2 linked regions of the Arabidopsis thaliana genome follow. The protein of the gene in region 1 interacts with the protein of each later gene in a pairwise test. Each region holds a gene or a part of one and is shown in the gene's direction. Other genes may lie near its edges.

Evidence for each region. Proteins that work in one complex are often made in the same cells at the same time.
Region 2: the proteins of AT2G42390 (region 1) and ARFA1D interact in a protein complementation assay, tested with the Arabidopsis thaliana proteins (one large-scale study listed by BioGRID).

The regions. Positions count from the first base shown.
Region 1 is NC_003071.7:17,649,942-17,654,951, reverse strand, and holds AT2G42390 (kinase C substrate, heavy chain-like protein), read left to right. Parts: upstream 1-2,308; 5' UTR 2,309-2,442; coding exon 2,443-2,536; intron 2,537-2,631; coding exon 2,632-2,745; intron 2,746-2,924; coding exon 2,925-3,020; intron 3,021-3,146; coding exon 3,147-3,341; intron 3,342-3,431; coding exon 3,432-3,571; 3' UTR 3,572-3,846; downstream 3,847-5,010. Other genes in the region: VOZ2 (vascular plant one zinc finger protein 2), read left to right, coding at 47-462; AT2G42395 (uncharacterized protein), read left to right, coding at 972-1,049, 1,150-1,386.
Region 2 is NC_003070.9:26,562,519-26,567,891, reverse strand, and holds ARFA1D (Ras-related small GTP-binding family protein), read left to right. Parts: upstream 1-2,080; 5' UTR 2,081-2,206; exon of another isoform or gene 2,207-2,730; 5' UTR 2,731-2,739; coding exon 2,740-2,887; intron 2,888-2,981; coding exon 2,982-3,052; intron 3,053-3,132; coding exon 3,133-3,252; intron 3,253-3,339; coding exon 3,340-3,458; intron 3,459-3,535; coding exon 3,536-3,617; intron 3,618-3,724; coding exon 3,725-3,730; 3' UTR 3,731-4,174; downstream 4,175-5,373. Other genes in the region: AT1G70500 (Pectin lyase-like superfamily protein), read left to right, coding at 29-49, 141-348, 447-528, 605-713, 796-912, 996-1,313; AT1G70480 (OBP32pep, putative (DUF220)), read right to left, coding at 4,284-4,703, 4,782-4,925, 5,003-5,125, 5,215-5,373. UniProt on the Arabidopsis thaliana protein: GTP-binding protein involved in protein trafficking; may modulate vesicle budding and uncoating within the Golgi apparatus.

The DNA.
Region 1 (5,010 bases):
GTGAGTTTCTTACTTTTGCCTGACCCTTAATTTTTTGTACTTGCAGAGCTATTTCATCTTGAACTGGTTGAAGGCGAAACAATTAGAGAGTGGCTCTTCTTTGACAAACCTAGAAGAGCATATGATAGCGGAAACCGAAAGCAAAGATCACTTCCAGATTACAGTGGAAGAGGTTGGCATGAATCAAGAAAACAACTGATGAAGGAACAAGAAGGCCAGAAGAGATCTTACTATATGGATCCACAACCTCCAGGTCCCTTTGAGTGGCATCTCTTTGAATACCAAATCAATGAATCTGACGCATGTGCGTTATATCGCCTAGAACTTAAAGTAGGAAATGGAAAGAAGAGTCCTAAGGGAAAGATTTCAAAAGACCCTCTGGCTGATCTGCAGAAGAAGATGGGACAGTTTAAAGTGGCTTCAGACAAACCCTCTCCTCCAACCAAAGGTCGTAAGGAGTGAAGTTAGCTATTGGTAATCTAACTCAAGACTCCTGCAACAATAGCTCCAAGTTGTCTCCAGCATTCTACAAAAGAGCCATCGCCACCTCTGTTTTCTTTTTTTTTTTCTTTCTGACTGTATTATGAAGAGATAGGATCTTTGATGTGTTGTGTTAATATGGACAAGTCTGGTCTTTGCCCTTTTTCTTGATAGAATCGTAGATGGGTTTGTAAATTTTTGCATTTTATTTTTCTCCTTTAAAACCACAAGGATTTTGTTAACGAAGTGGTGTATTCATATTTCAAAGGTACATTTGCAACACCATTGATTCTTTATTCCAATTCTTATCTACGTGTGTGTGTGAATGAAACTTGAAACCAATACAAGTCACTAATGCTCTCAGATTATGTAATTGGGCTTTACTGGGCCGTTTATAAAATTGGGCTAGAAAAAGGGAGACAGCAGACGACAAGAGCATCCTTGTTCTCTTTAAACCCTAAATTACAAGCAAATCACCAACAGAGAGAGTAATGGCGAAAAATTCTGGTAGCTCGTTTGAAGCAGAGAAATCAGAGGGAAAGTGTGTTACGACGACTACTGAAGCACAAGTAATTCAAAATTCTGGCTGATGAATTATGTATTTGATTTTACGTATTTGTAATTCACTAATTCTCACTGATTCATACAATTTGTGTCGTAAATGAACAGCAAAGTAGTCAACCTGTTTTGAGCAAGGAAGAGGAGAAAGTGAGAGATAGCTACTTGTTCTGCTGTGAAAATTTCTACACTCTTCCTGAGATGATCAATTTCATGAAGGAGATTCATGGTGTAGAACAAACCACTGTGACAAAGGTTTTCAGGGAACTTTTAAAAGGTAGAAAAGCTGAAGCATATCTCAGAGAATCTCAGAAAAGAATGAAGGCAAGAACAACAACAACAACTTGAACAGAGGAGGATGAGGCTTAGGTTGCTCTAATTTGAAATTCTTTGGTTTGGTTTACTGGTTAGTAAGAAATAGACTTGTATTGTCACATTTTTTTATCATATTTTGAGGTCCATTGCTTTGGGTGTATGGACCAGACTAGGACAAATGAATAGGAGATGCAAAAGGGTAATAATGGAGAAGTCAGTCTTGTTGGTCTATTCTTGTCCGAGTCCATGATTTTTAGAGGGAGAACTAGAAGGAGGAACTAAAAGTTGTTTAGGTTAATGGTTTAGGTGCTAAGTGTTGGCTCTGTGTGTTACTTATGACTCGTGGGATCTAATGTCTTGTGAAAAATCACTTGTGAGATAAAATGGACATAGTCTAGAGAAGAAGGTATATAAGAAGAAAAGCAGTCAACTTAACTACAAAATCACAACGGCTCACAACTGTTTTATGTTGTAGAAGTTGGTTGCTTCTTAGAGTGGTTCATTCTTCATTACCAGCTAACCGCAAATAACCGTGACTTGAAGTCTTTCGAATTACACTTCTTTCACTCGTGGTTCAAACTTCTTCTGTTCAAGTTGTTATGCCTTCTCCAGCCATTACTTGATTTCAAAATGGTGTTGATGGTCTCATTCTTGAAGGCTTGGATGTTTCTCAACTTTTTGCTCTTGAACAAGAGCCAAGAGGTGATGGGACTCCGTAGTACAAACACAATTTAAGAACGTTTGAGTAAGAGTTTTGATTCACATTGAAAAAAAAACTTAGAAGAAAAAATGAACCAAACTAAAATAATCAAATTAATTTAGTTTATTAATCAAGAATTAAATCAAGTTTTAATAATAACCTGAATTGTAGATTTTTTTTCTTTTCTTAATAGTCGAATACTGAACACTGTAGTATTAAATGAAAACTCAAAGCCCAATATAATTCAAAGCCCATCGAATCAAATATCTGGCCACTCCACTTATTCTTAACTTGAAACTTAAAAGCCGAAATCGTAAAGAGAGAATCTGGTCGGAATAATCCACTCGAATCTTAAAACGACGTCGGTTTAACCAAATGCGAGTCAACGGATGCTGCTGCAATGCGTCGTGTTGTGTTCGTCACTCGCCGTCGTCGTCATCTCCGTCGCTTCGACCTCTCCCCTCGTTGGTGTTCACCCTTTAGGTTACTTCTTCGATGACTCTTATCTTTATTATATCGACAAATCTGAAAAATGTTCTTGTTCTCTGATTCTTACTTACTTCTTTGTTGTGAGGCAGATGAAAAGTATTTCGACTCAGATGTTATCAAATGCAAAGATGGCTCCAAATCTTTCACAAGAGATCGTCTCAACGACAACTTCTGCGATTGTCTCGACGGCACCGATGAGCCTGGTACACACTTTTTTCTCAATTTAGAATCCAGAGAGCTGAGATGACATGAGACTTTAAATTCTTTCCAGATAAAAAGATTTAGGACTAGAATTGATCGAATCTTATTCTCTTTCACAATTTCAATTATGAAAAATGTGTTCTTGTGAGTAAGTTTCTGAATTTCTGATTTTGCATTACAGGAACTTCGGCATGTCCAAATGGCAAATTTTACTGTAGGAACATTGGAAGTTCTCCAAAGTTCGTTTACTCTTCTCGTGTGAATGATCGAATCTGTGGTCAGTAGTTACTAATGTTCTGAATTCGACTAAATGATTCTCGTTTCAGCTGTCTCTTGCTGTATGCTAGTAATCTACATGTTTTTGTTGGATTGGATAAGCAGCATGACATTGTCTGTTTCTCAGATTGCTGCGATGGAAGCGACGAGTACGAAAGTAGCATTCATTGTCCCAACACTTGTATAATGGGTGGTAACGTTAACTACATCTACAAACCTAGAGCCAACCTTAAATCTATACACTTGCAACTCGGTTCAACGCCTCATCCAAAGGAGTTTTATACTATAGGAAATCTTCAGGACATGGTCAAGAATCTACAAGGTTTTGCAACTTTTCTTGGGAAGCTTATTTGTTTTGTTTGATTGTCTAGCAAACTGATACAAAAACAATTGTTGTTGTTGTTGTTTCCAGGTATGAAGCTTGTTTTCGCTCTTCAGATGGTTTTTATCGGTTTCTTAGTGATCTTATGGATGCTTAGGAGTCGTGCTCGGTCTAAGAGACGACGCTATCTGCTGAAGAATGTACCTCCCATTAATAGATCAGCTAACTAACTCCCTGGAACTTGTATTATACTTTTGTGAAGCTTTTACGTGGAACCTGAGTGTTAAAGCCACATATGTCAAGTGTCATTACTAGCTATACTTATTCAGTGTGAGATTGTTTGTTCCTAGTTACATAATTGTCTTGGTCTTCATGTTTATTAAGCCTTCAGATCCTCAGACCATAGTAGGTACCGATGAGTCTTATCACAAGTAAGATAGTCACATGATCTGCAGATTTTCTAGAAAATGGATGGATTCACAATTTGAATGATCTCATGGTGAATTATTCGACTGATATAAGGTTTTATGAAAATGAACTCTTGTTTGTTTCTCACAGACAAAATCAATATACAAAAAACATTACAAGCCATTGAAGAGAAGAGAGAAATTTACAGTTAAAAAATCCTGAAAAAATGATTTGTAAACTCAAGATTGGAAACATCCACAAGTTGCCTTTGGAACAATTCTAATGGCCCAGTATTTTAGCAGCCGTTTCTTCTTGCTTCTCCACGCTTACCTTCAATCATTGCACTTCTTTCTTCTGCTTCCTTGTGAGTCACTGAAACCTAATTCATCCTCTCTGCATACTCCTGCTTTCTTCTTCTCTAGTTCCTCCTGCAGTGAAACAAATTCACAAACACTTCACTTCTCATTGTTCTCAATCACATTGAAACAGTATCAGCTCTCTATTGCTAAGTTTATTTTACCTCCATTTTCTTGAGTTGCACTTCGACAGCTGCTTTCTTCACTTCTCAACGGAAAACTAGTCACATAGTTTAGTTTAAGGTCACCTCTAACGAGTGAAGCAGACCAAGATTTCGCCAGTGCAGATTCTGTAAGAATTTTCATTCTACTAAAACATAAACAGCAATATGCCAAGCCTTAACACAAAGAGTGTCACAGGTAAACACATACAGAGCAAATGCATGATTCTGTCATAAAGCTTCAAATTTAGCTGTAATATATTACCTCCATGGATGTGTATTGAATCGTAAATAGGCCGCTTCTCTCTCGAAACAAGAACTAGCAATGGTAGCCTGATGTCAACGTATGTTGTATGAATCAAGTCCCCAGTGCAACTTGAAGGTAAAAGAACTTCTTCACACTGTTAGGTCGAAAGGTGAAACTTAAAGCTTATGTACTAGACAAGGCGATGGAACTTCTTCACACTGTTAAGGACAGACTTAGAGGTAAAAGAAAAACTTGAGTAGCTCATGGAGTTTAGCTAGAGGTTGGTCGCTAAGATATTTGTAAACTGAAGATGCTAATGGTTATATTAGGGATGATGATCTTGAAGGAATTATTTGGAAATGACATAACAGATGATGTGTGATTTCCTCCTTTAAAACAAAATCGTTTGGTTTTGATAATCATGAAAATATTTCTATGAGATTACTGTCCGACACACATTTAGAGAAATAATTCACTGACTATATATTCCGTAAATA
Region 2 (5,373 bases), on another chromosome or scaffold:
ACATATCTTTCTTGTTTTTCTTTTGTAGCCTTGCGTAGGCGCACCAACGGTCTAAGTTTTTTCCCTTTTGTGTTCATCGACCATTAGACTTATCATTTATGTTTGATTTTGCTTATAAGAAAGTCTTTACTTTTATACAGGCTCTAACTATATATTCAAGTTCAAATGTGTATGTGAGAGGCTTAACTATCCGGAACAGCCAACAGATGCACTTGATCATACAACGGTCAACTACAGTTCGAATCTCTAGAGTTATGGTCACATCTCCAGGAGACAGTCCCAACACTGATGGAATTCATATAACCGCATCTACCGATGTTGTAGTCCAAGACAGTAAAATCAGCACAGGTTCTTCACCAAAAACTTCTATTTAACTCAAAACACTATCATGGTAATTATAATATTAAACTCAAAATGTTATAGCTGACACTTCAACTTGAAAACAGGAGATGATTGTGTCTCGATTGTGAATGGAAGCGCCAAGATAAAGATGAAGAGGATCTACTGTGGACCAGGACATGGAATCAGGTAAACCATCTCTAACCATAAAAAGAAATGAGACACATATATTATTATTGATTGCAAATAATTTCTTGTTCTGTAGTATTGGAAGTCTTGGACAAGGACATTCGAAAGGAACCGTCACTGCAGTTGTGTTGGAAACTGCGTTCTTAAAGAACACAACTAATGGTCTAAGAATCAAGACATGGCAGGTAAAATCTCAATTCTATTGATCTTTGCTTTCCTTCCAAAGAGTTTTCAGGATTGATTGAAAGATGAAACTCTTTAAAACAGGGTGGTAATGGTTACGTAAAGGGTGTACGTTTCGAGAACGTAGTGATGCAGGACGTTGCGAATCCGATTATAATCGATCAATTCTACTGTGATTCACCATCAACTTGTCAAAACCAGGTTTTAATTCTTTCACATAACCATTGACTTATCAACAAACCTCAAGAAAGAAACTTAATCTTTTGATTCCTATTTCTTTGCAGACATCGGCGGTTCACATATCCGAGATAATGTACAGGAACATAACCGGAACCACGAAAAGCTCAAAAGCCATCAACTTCAAGTGTAGTGACGCAGTCCCTTGCAGCCACATTGTCCTCAACAATATCAACTTGGAAGGCAATGATGGAAAAGTAGAAGCATATTGTAACTCTGCTGAAGGGTTTGGTTATGGTGTAGTTCATCCTTCTGCGGATTGTCTGTATTCGCATGACGACAAGAGCTTAAACCAAACTGATCAGTATTTGGCAGAAACTATTATGGTCGAAAAAGAAACTGAAAATGCTCATGATGAGCTTTAAGGTGATCACATATTTTGACGGTCGTTGTAGTGAGGAATGTGCACGTTATATTTAGTTGTAATTCATCTTTAGCAACTGACCTTATATATATAGCTTGTTAATGAAGCATATACAATGAGATTGAAAAGCATTGTAGTGTTTATAAATTGATTATAATTAAGGTAAAGATTAATATTTTTGTATAAAAAATGAATGCTTATTTGGTAGTTTGTAGCATTTGCTCATCTCTCTATGTTTTGTTATGATCGTTAAGGGTTGGCAGCAAAACCAGACCCAAATGTTTAAATTTTTAAGCTAATACTAAACCGGAATTGTCTCTCAATTGATTAATTTTATCATTTTGAAAATAAATCTTTTAAATGATTTTGTGGCTAACGTTTCCCAAAGTTAACCAAACCAGACAAACAAAATTTCATTAAAAATATCATTAATAGATGTAGATATGTAATCATATTATATATATTAAAATTATTTTAATAATTATAAAATTTATCAAAATTGATTGAAATGACGATTTCTTATTGGTCAGACAACATCAACAAATAACGAAATTTTCACTGGAGATGAAGTAGCACTTAAGAAAAGAGTATTGCTCACGTGTTAAGTTTTAATTGGTTAGCTCGCGAACACCTGCACACTTGGTCATAGAAGATTCGAAGAGGGTAATTCCGTCAATTACAAATGGCAATTTCGTTAATTGGCGTGAGAAACGACGAATAAACCGGTACCCCTCTCCCTTATAAAATTGCTCTCCACCACTTCCCATTTCGGCGTCATCGCGTTTCTCTTAAGCTTCTCTCACATTTCTCTTTCAAATTTCTTCGAGTCTCTCTCGCTCTCTCCGTTTCTTCGCGGTCTCTCTCTCTCAGATCTCTCCGAAACATTCTTCGTAGGTACGCTTTGATCTAAGATCTGTGCTCATACATTCTCAATTTAGCGTAGATCTGTATGTGTTCTGCATTTCTCGTTTCTTGTGAATTTTGATGGTTTTGGAATCGTCGTGATTGATTTCGTTGAGGTTGATCTTGCTCATGAATGGATAATGCGATTTTATTTTTAAGATGTGTATATATGTCGACGTTTCTGATTACGATCTGATAGTGTGGATCTGTTGAATTTTCTATTCACTTTCGTTTTCCGTCGTTGTGATTGTATCTGATAGCTTCTGAGATGTTGAAGATCTGTATCAGAGAGATTATGATATCTCGGGACGTTTGATTCTCTGTTTGGATCGGCCTGATCTCGTTGAAATTTGATGTTTGTGAGTGACGATTTTGGTATTGATCAGGTTCTTAGAGGATATAAGAATTGAATTTGGCATTATAGATGCATAATTTAGGATTTCTGAGATGAAAATCGCGTGATATAGAATGTGTATGAGGTTTTTGATATTAGACTTTGTTGTGTTTGTTTGCAGTGAAGCAAAATGGGGTTGAGTTTCGCCAAGCTGTTTAGCAGGCTTTTTGCCAAGAAGGAGATGCGAATTCTGATGGTTGGTCTTGATGCTGCTGGTAAGACCACAATCTTGTACAAGCTCAAGCTCGGAGAGATTGTCACCACCATCCCTACTATTGGTAAAGAAGCTTCACACCTTAGTACTGGTTTTTAAATTGTGATGATGGTATAAAATCTAGGATCGATTAGTGATATGCTAAATTCTATCAACAGGTTTCAATGTGGAAACTGTGGAATACAAGAACATTAGTTTCACCGTGTGGGATGTCGGGGGTCAGGACAAGGTATGGAGTCTCTGTACTGCTTATTGTTTGATGAAGGAACTTTTCACCCAAATAAACTGACTTTTTGGCTTCTTTTTCAGATCCGTCCCTTGTGGAGACACTACTTCCAGAACACTCAAGGTCTAATCTTTGTTGTTGATAGCAATGACAGAGACAGAGTTGTTGAGGCTCGAGATGAACTCCACAGGATGCTGAATGAGGTAAATATCCAGTGCTATAGAGAAAGAGTTCTTCTTCATAGTTTTGTTAGTTTGAAAATCCTTTACTTACCAACTCTTTTATTGCAGGACGAGCTGCGTGATGCTGTGTTGCTTGTGTTTGCCAACAAGCAAGATCTTCCAAATGCTATGAACGCTGCTGAAATCACAGATAAGCTTGGCCTTCACTCCCTCCGTCAGCGTCATTGGTAAATAAACATCCTTATAAGTTTCAAAAGTCAAACAATTTCTGTTCGATACTGATGTGTGTTTTTGCTCGCTACAGGTATATCCAGAGCACATGTGCCACTTCAGGTGAAGGGCTTTATGAAGGTCTGGACTGGCTCTCCAACAACATCGCTGGCAAGGTAACATAACTACATAAGTTTCTTCAAAAACACACAAATCTAACGAGCTGGTTTCTTTTTATTCTGCGATGCTTATATCTTTACCTCGTGTTGCTCTTCTTGCACAGGCATGATGAGGGAGAAATTGCGTTGCATCGAGATGATTCTGTCTGCTGTGTTGGGATCTCTCTCTGTCTTGATGCAAGAGAGATTATAAATATTATCTGAACCTTTTTGCTTTTTTGGGTATGTGAATGTTTCTTATTGTGCAAGTAGATGGTCTTGTACCTAAAAATTTACTAGAAGAACCCTTTTAAATAGCTTTCGTGTATTGTGCCTGGATTAATATGATTGATTGTTTTGCTTTCTTGTTTTTGCGTATCCTATTTTCACGTCTGCATCGTTTTCATCACAGAAATATCTTTCTTTCTTTACCAAAATAAATGAATTAGAAATTTTGTATATTTGAAAATTCATATCACTATTGGTCATTGAGTCATGGTTGTAATGGTCATGAGTCATTGAGTCATGGTTGTAAACTTCTTCAACAAGGAATAGATTCCCACATTTATATGCCAGTGTATCTTATGAAAACAAATATTATATTATGTTCACATATTGCTGGGTGATCCAAAAATCCTCAAGATATCTATTATCCCAGAATCATGGACTGTGTGAGTCTGTGACTTAACACAAATCATTGCGTCGTCTCCTTGATGTTCTTCTATGTGCAGACCATCTTTCTTTTATATCTCCAGGTGTGCCAATCCGTTGCTCATCGGGCGAGTGACCATCCTCCATTACTCCAGCTGCACGGATCCTGGCGGTCTCAGCCAACAAGTCATGGATAAGCATCTCTGTCGTCTTAGCCGTGATTCCTCTGAGATACCAAGAAATGGGCGGAGGTGGAACAATCGCTGGCTGTATTAGCTGGTCCAGCGTTACCTTAGATCCGATCCTCCCTTTACCTCCAGTGCACCTGTTATACTCCTCCAGCGTTTTCGGTTTCAAACGATCGCACATATGTTCATCCACAAACAAAGGCTTTACTTGCCAGCTTCCTTCGAATCTCTTCATGAATCCACTTTTCACTTGCTTGAATTTCATCTGCAACACCCATTTAAATCCCCTTTCACGAACCATTCAAGAAACTTGAGACTTTTGTTATAATCGTAGAGGTCTTACAGAGTGATCTGCCCGATCCTGATCCACCAAGACATGAACTGAGATTGTTCCTGACCACCAGAGAAATCTCCACAAAGCTGCTTGTTCAACTTCCACCACTTGCCTTAACCCGTCATCTACCAATACTTTCCGCGACATAACCTCCTGTAATTCCGAGGCCAATGAATCACAGGAGCTTAAAACTGTAACAGAGAGAACAAGATAATCTATAAGAAACGTACCTTGATATTCTTGAAGACTCTTCTATTGTCAGGGTCAATTACAATGTTATAGACTGCATCAGGAGGTAAACCAACATTCACCTCGGCTTTAAGATTGCAAAGCGATCCTTTTGGAATACCCACCTGTAAAGAAATCTTGTTATTATTTATCATATAACAAGATTCTCAAAGACTCTGACAAAACCATGTTGTAAAGTTCATCTCTTGCTCACCTTAACGACTGGGATCTGATCAGTCCACGAAGGGTTTTCCCTCCAACAATCTAACTGTTTCTCCAGATCAATTTGCATGGAGATCGATGAGTTTCCTTTATCTTGCCTCCATGAAGAACCAATCCCATGCTTATCATCTGTCAAATTCTTCAGCTGGGA